Linked DNA regions of Neodiprion lecontei. The protein of the gene in region 2 binds, or shares a complex with, the protein of the main gene of each other region. Links are inferred from orthologs where the notes say so. Each region holds a gene or a part of one and is shown on either strand. Other genes may lie near its edges.

Region 1 (5,138 bases), on a different chromosome or scaffold from region 2:
CATGAAATGGGGCAGACAGTTTTTGTCTACTTTTTCGAAAAACGGAATATGTGCTTTGTAGGGCGTGATTAATAACATTAATTGCAATTGAAACCATTTACAAAATCATCCTGGTAACATCAAGATAGAAAAAAAAAATGAAATAAAAAATACTTTTACACATTGGTTTTTATTACAAAAAATGGGGGGGGGGAACGTATAATACAGGTACGTACCAATCGAATAATAAACATTTACTTGATCTTCCAAAATCTTTAAAAACATCATCTTAATAATAACAGCAGCATATTATACCATATATACTTAGCTTGCGCGATACTGACCACCTTGACTTTGCATTTCCTACTTAAGAAGCGGTCGAAAATCGGCAACCTAGCGATATATTATTCCTTAGAGTAAGAAATAGTAATCGTATTACTGTCATCCTAACTGTTATTTGCCACTTCATGTAGATGATAAATATGCTACACGCTATTGAACAATCAAAGCCATAATAAAAACTTTCTGTAGTATTAGCACGGAAGTTGATTTCAATATTTATTAACAATACAGTAAAGAATACTAACTACAATGACTTGAGCTCCTTAGCATGTGGATCTTCCTAAATAAATTGTATCAGCAAGTGATTTAGAATGTTGAGTATTATGATTAAACTTAACGAAGGATATTAACTAGGACAATTTAGTAGTAAAAATCGGAAAGGAATTTTTCTCAAATTTTCGCAGATTGTGGAAAATATTACACTTGGGAGATGTGGTGATTGCTTGAAATGTGTAAAATTCGATTGATCGTAAATCTTAAAGTAAATTGTCATATAAAAATATAATCCCATTGCGTACTCAATAAACGGATTCAACGAATTGGTAGTTAATAGTCGTACCTCTTGGCATAACTTTTTTTTGCAACAAACTGTTTTGCGCCACTCGCATTGCTCGGTTTACCGATGAAAAGTCAGCTGTTGGAGAAGTAGGGTACGTAGATGGATTGTAGAAAAAACTGCTAAATATTACAATTGCTTTTCTTTGTACTCCAGAACTTTTCTCTAGTCGTAGGTTGAGATCATCGTCACAGGTGGACATAGCAGAACTAACTGCAACTATATGCCTTTAGAAAGTGTTTTAATTTCAAGGCTTTCGAATATCACGCCCCACTATAGCACAATAATCTTTAACAAACGACAAGTTAGGATATCGTCAGTCAGTGATGTTGGTGTTGCGGTATCATATTAAGGTGCCTGAAATTAAAAAAAAATATAATTGAGTAAACATATGGTAAGAGAATCAGTGAAATAAATTACCATTAAAATTCCAAAATATTTACTTGAGGCTATCGTTGTGAGTCTTGTATTCCATAGAGGCACTGGCAGGAAGATATAACACACGCCTCAACGTATCTCTAATTCTAGCTGTAGTTGCGGCATCCGATGCAGTTTTGTTCCACACGCAGATTATATCCTCCTGAAAAAAAACAGAAAAATGAAAATAGTAAGCAGTATAACAAACATTTTGTCTCATGCAATTAATATTTGGCTGGTGATGTTTCTTTTAACAAATGTTACAATACTAATATCTCACCTGAAATCGTATAGATACGACTGCGCCACATATTTCCTCGCCAACCATAAATTGCTCACCTAACATTGCCATCACAAGATTTTCCCAACAGCGCGAAACTAAACCTTTTCTTAACCTGACAATCCATTTTCCTCCTCTTTGATTAGCTTCATCCTTTGGAAAAAATAAATAATTATTAATCGGTTCCTTCGGATTCGTTTGCGCAAAGATTCTAAAGATTTTCTCAACCTGGGATCTGATGTCACTGAGGGTTTAGACATTGACTTGAATTATTTCACATTCCGTCATTTTCAACATTTTCAAAGTTTTCTCCAGGATTTACACGTACCTCCCACATCGGTTTAATTCCTGCTTTGAATAAATGAAAATCTGTGTGCGTAGTGAGTTCCGAAGGTCTGACTAAGTGGCTGTAGAGGCCCCAGAATTGTTCTACACTAGCAAACCTCCCAACGAGCTTTAAATTCTGGTCATAACTTTGGATATTTGTCTGTTTCCCAGGGTTCCGTCTGCTATACCAGAGGCAATATGCGTACTGGAGTTTGTGCTCGTTTGGACTTATCTCTATGGGGGGCTGTAACAATTGTTAAGTTAAGCAATTGTAAAGAACATAACTGCGAGTCTGACGATTGTTACTAAGGTATGACGTTCATTCCCAAAACTGAATACCAATGTGTCTTTTTCAGCTCGCTGACTATCTCTGGACTGCGAATCGTCATCACCGCTGTCGTCGCTTGTCTTCAAGCTGAAAGAACAGCACACGATCGATCAGTATGTCTAGTTACTCGATTTAGTCTCAAAACGTTGTCACATTGGTTTTCTTGAGCACCGATTATTCAAACGTGTGGATAAATTTTTATAGCGAGAGTGGTATATTTGTAAAGCGGGAAGGATTTTAGAAGCGACAATTGTGTTCAGCTTGTTTGTTGATCTTCCCAATTTGGAAGGGTTTTGAAAAATCGATCCTAATAATTTTTTGGAAAAGAATCACATGATAACTGCGATGGACGGTGATCTTCAGTCAGAATTGGAAACACAAAACATAACCCCTAGTTTGCATATGGTTATGGGATTATGGAATACACGTATAAAGATGATCGGTACGGTTATCCTACTTACGCGTCAAATTTGTTGGACATGGTTAGAGTGGTGGTATAAATATATATATAATATGATTAAAATACTATAAACAATACGCTTAAAAACGTATGATTAAAAATATAAAAGCTTCTTGTATCACTTCTCTTTATGTATTTTTATTTTCCTATATTGGCAGCAGTTTCATACGATTTGCAACATAGATAGGTATAAGTGCAGTTGGCTAAGGCTGATTTTTTCATTCATTTTTAACATGTTGGATGCCCTGTAGCTCGCATTTCAAATCTATAATTAATTTCTCATTCCTGTAGAGAAAACTAGCCAAAAAAAAATTATATCAAGTAGGAAATATGTAATAAGATTTTCCGATCGGGCATCGGAAGCTGTAACTTTCGTTTGAGTAAACTATTCTATTGAGGGTAATCGGATCGGTACAGAATCAAACATCACTGTCGATATGGATGATTGAAATATTTAAATGTTGGTATATAAGGTCTGGCAACGTACCTACTTTCTGTAAAAGATGCTGAAGATTTTCAACATAATTATGTTTCAGTTCTGTGCCCCACCTAGTGCTCCACTAGTAAATATCCTCCGACGTGACGTCGCTGTGCTACGTATAAAGAAGAAAAGATTTATTAAGATGCAGATTGCTCCTCTCTTCTTGCCATTGTGCTTTCGGCCATTGTTGTGCTGTGTGTTTAAAATTAAGGACAGTATATGTATAATATAGAATAACAGGTACAGCTACGAATATAGCACTGCAATAAATCTTATAGAAATGAGCTCTCATTGAGATTTCTCTGTATTTATAACTCGACGCGAGAAGGCAAAAATCAATGTAATGCCATCTGTAAGGTAATTGGACTCGTATTTGTACTACGAGAACTCGTTGGGCATTTTGCGGTGAAGTTTGAAAAATTGTTGTACAAGAAATTAAATAACTATAAAAATGGATAAAAAATATTATCTCTAATTATGAATGTAGCTAATACAGCTTTAACCGTATATTGATTATGTTAATGATCTATTGTGACAAGATCGGAATTAGATAAGCTCTCTAAATACTCTTTTCTAGTCTATTAATTTATATCATTTATATGTAAATGTATATTTCTTCAGTTTATACAATCACTGCACTAGGATTACCCTTGCCACGTTTTATGGTGCGTTTGTGTAGTTTGTATATTATTAACCTTACGTATTAATCTATTTGCGACAAGTTGTGAGTGTTTCTAATTTCTTGGTAATTATTTATGTACATGTATGTGTATATATGTATATGTGTACATATACATGTGTATATATATATATACACATATATACATATGTATGTGTATATACATATATGCACTAGAGTGTCCCAAAAAAACCGAATAATTTCGGATCTGCATTCCGTCAAATATATGCATATATTTATTGTTCAGTTGATAATTCTGGGTTTATAATACATAAAAATTAATTTTTGTTATATTTACGAAAAAAAAAGCATAATTTTAAACAGTCCGAAGTTTGAGGCTCGATATTTTTGAAACGGCTGGATTTACGCAAAATGTCAATCAGATCTTTTTTGTAGAGCATCAAATTTCCTATAAGACCTGATTTTGTCATACTTATGAAGTAGCTCGTTATCCCATCACAAAATTCCAAATTTCAAAAAAAAATTTTCCCATGTTATTTAAATGGGAAATAGAAAATTACAAATCGCCACCTCTAAATATTAATATTAAGAGCTTATATTTTCACACGGTCATTTTCTAGAGATACTCTGACGATTTTTAAATGTTCTTTGAAAAAAAAAAAATAGTCGGTTTTTTTGGGACACTCTAATATACACATGTTTAAAACTAGATTTTTACAATAAACACAGAGGTTTTAGTATATTCACATACGGATTTCTGTGTATAGGTATACTTGAACTAAAATATCCTTCTCCCTAATACGGAGTTGTTCGTAATTCGCATTTGTTCTTGTAACCCAATGTCCTACATACGATGGCAAAAATCTAGATCCAACTTAACTGAGTCTCAAAGCCCTGTTGACATAAGAGCAGCTATTCGATAGAAATTATAGTTTATAGTTTACACAGCCCATTGCAAGATATTTCATTATAAATACATATGTTTCAATGTATTTAGGAATAATTTATCAAATATACACAGGTCATGTGCAAATAATAAATGAATTCGACCGCAGTTTGATGTATTCATTAAAGCTTCAACAATAAACTTTCAGCTTTGTTACTTCTTCTATTTTATAATGGATAATCAAAAACATTTCCGACTGTTCGTACTGTGGAAGCATGGTGATTAAACCAAATGTAGCAAAAGATTAGAAACAGTGTATGAAGAGTACGGGTATTTTTCTAATAATGCAAACACGTGCCGCTAGCTTAGTTTTGACATATCTAGAATACCACGCCTTGCGAATTAGCTTTCCAGACAGAGATGAATGATGAATTTTAAGGAC
Region 2 (4,872 bases):
GATTACCGCAATAGAGATGAATCTTTTTCACGACAAGGGAAGGCCAAGCAATTGAAGTGCAGAGGCTTATACAAGCCAGGAAGTTTGGCGCAAGGGCTCCAGAGAGTGGCTGTATATTTTTAGAACACGACCAAGAATGACACAGTTCCCAATATAAGATACGACACTAATACAAGACGATACGAAAATATATGTATGTGCACATATTGAATCGCATTCTATCTCTTCTTACATTTTAGTCAAATATCGATCTATTCGAAATAAAAATATTCTTACATCTTCCAAGCCATGTAGCAGTATCCATAAAATCGTAATTTCAATTTTATCCAACCTACATTTTGTTTGCTCAAATACAAATACCGTGATTCAAAGTTCAAGGTCATATCGAGTTTGAAAATATTTAGCATCGTATATATATGCAAATGGAATGTTAAATATTACGTCACACATCATTATATGCATTAGAAGAATTCTTTTTACCAAATTCAATCTCATTGAACATTACATTTCTTACCATTTAACGCCATGTATCATTGTTGTTATTTTTTTTTTTTTTTTTTAACAAGTCATTTCGATGTTTTCTGTAAATGATTTTATCAAATTTTCCACAAGCACAGCAATATTTCATAGTATATGATGTGTGTGTGTGTGTGTGTGTGTGCGTGGGTGTATATATATTTAGTAGATATATTGACTTTTTGCATTGCAGAAACATGTTGATAAATATGGAAAATGTGCGCATATATATGTATATACATTTTCCATAATTATCACCATTTTTCTGTAATGAAAAAAGTTAATAGATCTACTTTTATTTATTATAATGAATCCAGGTTTTGCTTTGAATGAAACATAAGTTAAAGTTACACGAAGATTCTACTATTTACCCGTAAAGTTTAGTTGCTTACTTGTAAAATTTTTTCTAAAGTTATAACCATCAGACCGATTCAAGTTGTACTTGTACATTCCAAAAGACACAACACAACGAAGATAGATTTTCAAAAATGATAGCAAAGCAAATATTCCTAGTAAGCATATTGCAATGAGATGCATTGGCATGGTGTGTAACCTTAGTGTTTACTTTTTTTTCATTTCTGATTCTCAATTTCGAGAAGAGATTCTAACAGGAAACGAGTCATTGGGACAGAAAAGATGAGCAGGAAATAAGTTAGGTATATGTGCGGAATGAGCAGAAATTATCAAAAATATGATGATAGTAATAACAACCACATTTACCGCCTCTTCTTCTGTCATTGGTGTGAGTGCCAGCGGTTGTTGAGCTTGTATAATGTAGAGGGCAGGAAAAGAAGCGAGTGGTTCGGGTGCTTTATAATTCCGGTCAAACAGAGCTAACATCTCTTCTCGACCGTATCTATGCTCAGCTAGCTGGTAACGAGGGGTGGTCAGGATACTAGGCCCTCCCCCTCCTCCGCTGGTATTGCAACCGTCTCCTGACAAGTTGCGCAACCTGTACAACGGCAAAGTTTTGTCAGAGAGATGTGAGGAAAGGAAAAAACAGGGAAACAGAGAATAGCTCACCATGCAGACATTGATAACTATAACTTATGCGCTACATATATTATAAAATTGTGCGAGATTCAATTCTTTCTTCCTCTTTTAATCCTTTAGCTACTTTATTTATTATTTTTCAGATTCAGTTGTTCGTAATGATGCGACTAAAAGATTAAAGAAAAAAAGAAACTCGTTTTGTTACGCAAATGACAGAATATACTTTTTGACTTGATCGTGTTGTCTTTCATGGTACACAAAAATTTTGATTGTAAATATTTAAAAATTTCAGAGTATCTTATGAATTTTTTATGCTTTATTAGTTTTTAGTGGAAGTGGGTTTTAAAGTACTTTTCAGGTCTCTAACTGACTTTGCATAGTAAAAATGTCAAGTGTGAAATGCACTATCTTTTTATGATGAGTAAATACCTTTACTTTCGGCTTTTCAATAATGACAAAGTATAGTGTTATCTAAAAATCATCATATAAATGAAAGCAAATGTCAGACAATGGTGAAAGAAAGATTCATTTATAGTTATAAAACCATCGCTTCAAAATGAAATTTTTCACTTAGATTAATCAAATACCAATCACAAGATTATCAAAATTTTTTAAATGCCAAAGAATCTGTTTGCAGGATTTATTTCTTAAAATTGTATAAATGATAGTATCTCAAAATTTTAATGAAAATTTAGATTCTGAATGATAAAATCTGCTGCCAAATCATAACGCCAGCGAAATTTTTTTAGGGAATAACTTACCACTCTGGACCAAATCTCATTGATTCCGTCATCTCGCAAAGTTAGCTGAAAAATTAAATAAAGTAGCATGAATACATGTATTTGTTTGGCACAAACGGTCAGCAAAGAAAAAATACAATAGTAAATAATAAATAACAGTCTTTATCCGGATTTTAAAAATATAATATTTAACTGTTACTTCACGTTTTGAGAATTTTTATTCAATTTCTGTTTTACTTACACCCTGGACATTCGATAACGCGGTTAAAGCTCGAGTAATTCGCGTATAGGGATGATTTCGCGTTTGAAAGGATTGATGAATTAGAACACGAAACAGATGATTTAGAATATACCTAGAATATACAATAGATGCAACAGACTGGAGAACGTAGAGGAGCCGAAATTAGCGTCACGAAAGTGTCGAGCAGCGGGAAATGAAACTGCGATATCGTTGCGCGGAAAGGAACGAATACCAGAATCGAAAGACGCGAAAACAGAAATATTCTTCCCGTTTATTTACGACATATTTTTTGACGGAGCAGAATCTACGTAGGTATGTATGCATGTAGTATCCCACAGCAGCCAAGGTGGCAATATTAACCAAACTTTTTTCGATTGTAGAAATCACGATATGCCACCGGATCATCATATTCTTTGATAAAAGTTTGTCACCAATGCTTTTGTTGCAATATTTCACTGCCAGTAGCGTCTAGTTTGCTATATAAATTATTGAAATACCTTATTGGGGTTCGGAATTATTGGGCGAATGAAACAACACACCAATATGGCCGATGGGTTTTTTGAGATAGAACGCTGAACGCATGCGTAGTGTTTTTTGTCACGTGATCAGAGATTTAAAGCCAAACCCAAATCCCCGTACAAGGCGCCACTTGTACGAAAGTGGAAGACCTCGGAAGATCTTTTGCTTCCTGCTTTTAAAAAGTACCTTTTATTTGCCTAAACGGAAGTTTTGAAGAAAAAACTGCAGATTGGCTGACCTTTGAATACCGAGTCGTTACCGAGTTCTTCAACTCTTTTGTTTTCGAAATGTGGCAAGTAAAATAAACCCAGACATAGGAACTCATTTCAACCCGACTCCGGTTTGTTTATCAATTTTTTTTTGACAGATTATATCATCAATTTTAATCCTTCCACTTACTTATGTCCTAATGTACGTTACAACTGTGACGAAAATATCGGTCTGATATATTACTTTCCAACACAGACATTCATTTCAACCGACCAAGTTATTTTACCGTTCCGACTCTTTGACTTAACCGACTCCTGATTAAAGCCATATATGGTTAAAGCTGGCTGTAAAAATTAGGAAAAATTTAAGAAAGTTTCAACTGATACCGACAGATTTACGGATTATGTTTTGAAATCGAAAACAGCTATTATTTTCATCGTATCGATTTGTAGTACTATAAATCTGAATGGTAATTAATTTCTCTTTGCAATTGTGTCTAAAGGGTAAGAAAGAGACTCTTATATTTTAAGACAGTTTATTCAAAGGGATTTTAAGTCGTTACAAAGAATAGTAACAATAAAACGTTCTTTTTTCCAGATCTGTGCAACCGGCTATTTAAGAGTGAATCATTTGAGCTTAAGCAAACTGCATGAAAGAATTTTTTTAGAAATCCACACCTTTGAGAAGTCATTCAGATACAGTATAGAATTAAGTTTCTCTCTGATAAAGGGACTCATTATTATAAATCAGACAAAGTAGTGCGGCTTCTTGACCACTATGCCATATTCAGCAACAGCTGGTGTCAGGTCTTCCATTGTTAACGTGTAGCGGCGATCCTTTCCTTTCGTCTTAGTATTTTGATTTGCTCCTCTCGTCTTACAGTGCTGTAACGCATCGTTAGCTATTTCAGAGATGAACTTTTGAGCTGCTAACGAAACTAACCTGACACTAAAACAAGGAGAATAGAATTGTTCCATGAGCAATTACAAACCAATAAATAATAAAATATCTATCGAATAATTCTCGTTTTACTCTTACATTCTTGGATCAGTCGTGTTGAAACCAGCTGTATGGAGATAGTGAGCACTGATCGCATCTGGAACCTGAAATAAACTGCTTGTTTTACAAAGATATAACTTCTTCCAATATCATAGAGCGACTTACGTACAGTCGGAGTATAATCTTCAAGTTGCAGTAGAAAATCGGATAAAGGTTGCCCAGCTGATCGAGGTTCTTCGTTAGTTCCCGAATATATCGGAGGTGTGTCTCGTCCGTAACCTTCTGCCATTTCCGTAATTCAGATTTCGTTAAATCTGAGCCGCTGCAATTTCTCTAGTAACGAACGATGTTTCGATTTCTCGTAAAAACGGTTACAAGTTGTGGCTTTAGTAGCATGAAATTATTTCTAGAGGGTAAGATTATCGTGGATAGATGAAAAAGGTTAATTTAGATGTAAATAAATATTGCAATCCCTCTCTCTGGCAGTACAATAAGCAGAGAGAAACCTTCGAAAACTCCAGACTAACGACAAAATCACTAAATTGGCGACACTGAGTGTCGCTCGTGGGTAGTGAGTGAAGTTGGCGGCAGATCAACGCATCTCGAATCTCTGGAAGCACTTCTGCACTTAGCACTTTAACAGACGACCACGAC

Evidence for each region.
Region 1: the proteins of GRB10-interacting GYF protein 2 (region 2) and eukaryotic translation initiation factor 4E type 2 are in contact, whole or in part, in a crystal structure (PDB 5NVM), measured with the Homo sapiens proteins. The link is inferred for Neodiprion lecontei from reciprocal best matches to the Homo sapiens genes GIGYF2 and EIF4E2. Residues at the interface, in NP_001096616.1 of Homo sapiens: Leu38, Ala39, Asp40, Tyr41, Arg42, Tyr43, Gly44, Arg45, Met48, Leu49, Leu51, Phe52, Leu53, Asn56, Lys57, Ile58, Pro59, Asp61, Leu62, Asp64, Glu66, Phe67, Pro69, Ile70, Leu71, Gln72; in NP_004837.1 of Homo sapiens: His54, Pro55, Leu56, Gln57, Tyr64, Arg66, Asn81, Lys83, Gln84, Ile85, Gly86, Thr87, Val91, Glu92, Phe94, Trp95, Arg96, Phe97, Ser99, His100, Met101, Val102, Leu107, Phe113, Glu149, Asn150, Leu153, Leu156, Gly157, Glu158.

The regions. Positions count from the first base shown.
Region 1 is NC_060260.1:3,932,620-3,937,757, reverse strand, and holds eukaryotic translation initiation factor 4E type 2, read right to left. Parts: upstream 2,836-5,138; 5' UTR 2,711-2,835; coding exon 2,691-2,710; intron 2,317-2,690; coding exon 2,241-2,316; intron 2,146-2,240; coding exon 1,903-2,145; intron 1,728-1,902; coding exon 1,575-1,727; intron 1,458-1,574; coding exon 1,321-1,457; intron 1,235-1,320; coding exon 1,198-1,234; 3' UTR 513-1,197; downstream 1-512. UniProt on the Homo sapiens protein: Recognizes and binds the 7-methylguanosine-containing mRNA cap during an early step in the initiation. Acts as a repressor of translation initiation.
Region 2 is NC_060263.1:40,978,528-40,983,399, forward strand, and holds the start of GRB10-interacting GYF protein 2, read right to left. Parts: upstream 3,173-4,872; 5' UTR 2,988-3,172; intron 2,316-2,987; 5' UTR 2,303-2,315; coding exon 2,271-2,302; intron 1,469-2,270; coding exon 1,237-1,468; coding exon of another isoform or gene 1,228-1,236; intron 1-1,227. Other genes in the region: transcription initiation factor TFIID subunit 10, read right to left, coding at 3,966-4,167, 4,258-4,322, 4,388-4,507. UniProt on the Homo sapiens protein: Key component of the 4EHP-GYF2 complex, a multiprotein complex that acts as a repressor of translation initiation. In the 4EHP-GYF2 complex, acts as a factor that bridges EIF4E2 to ZFP36/TTP, linking translation repression with mRNA decay.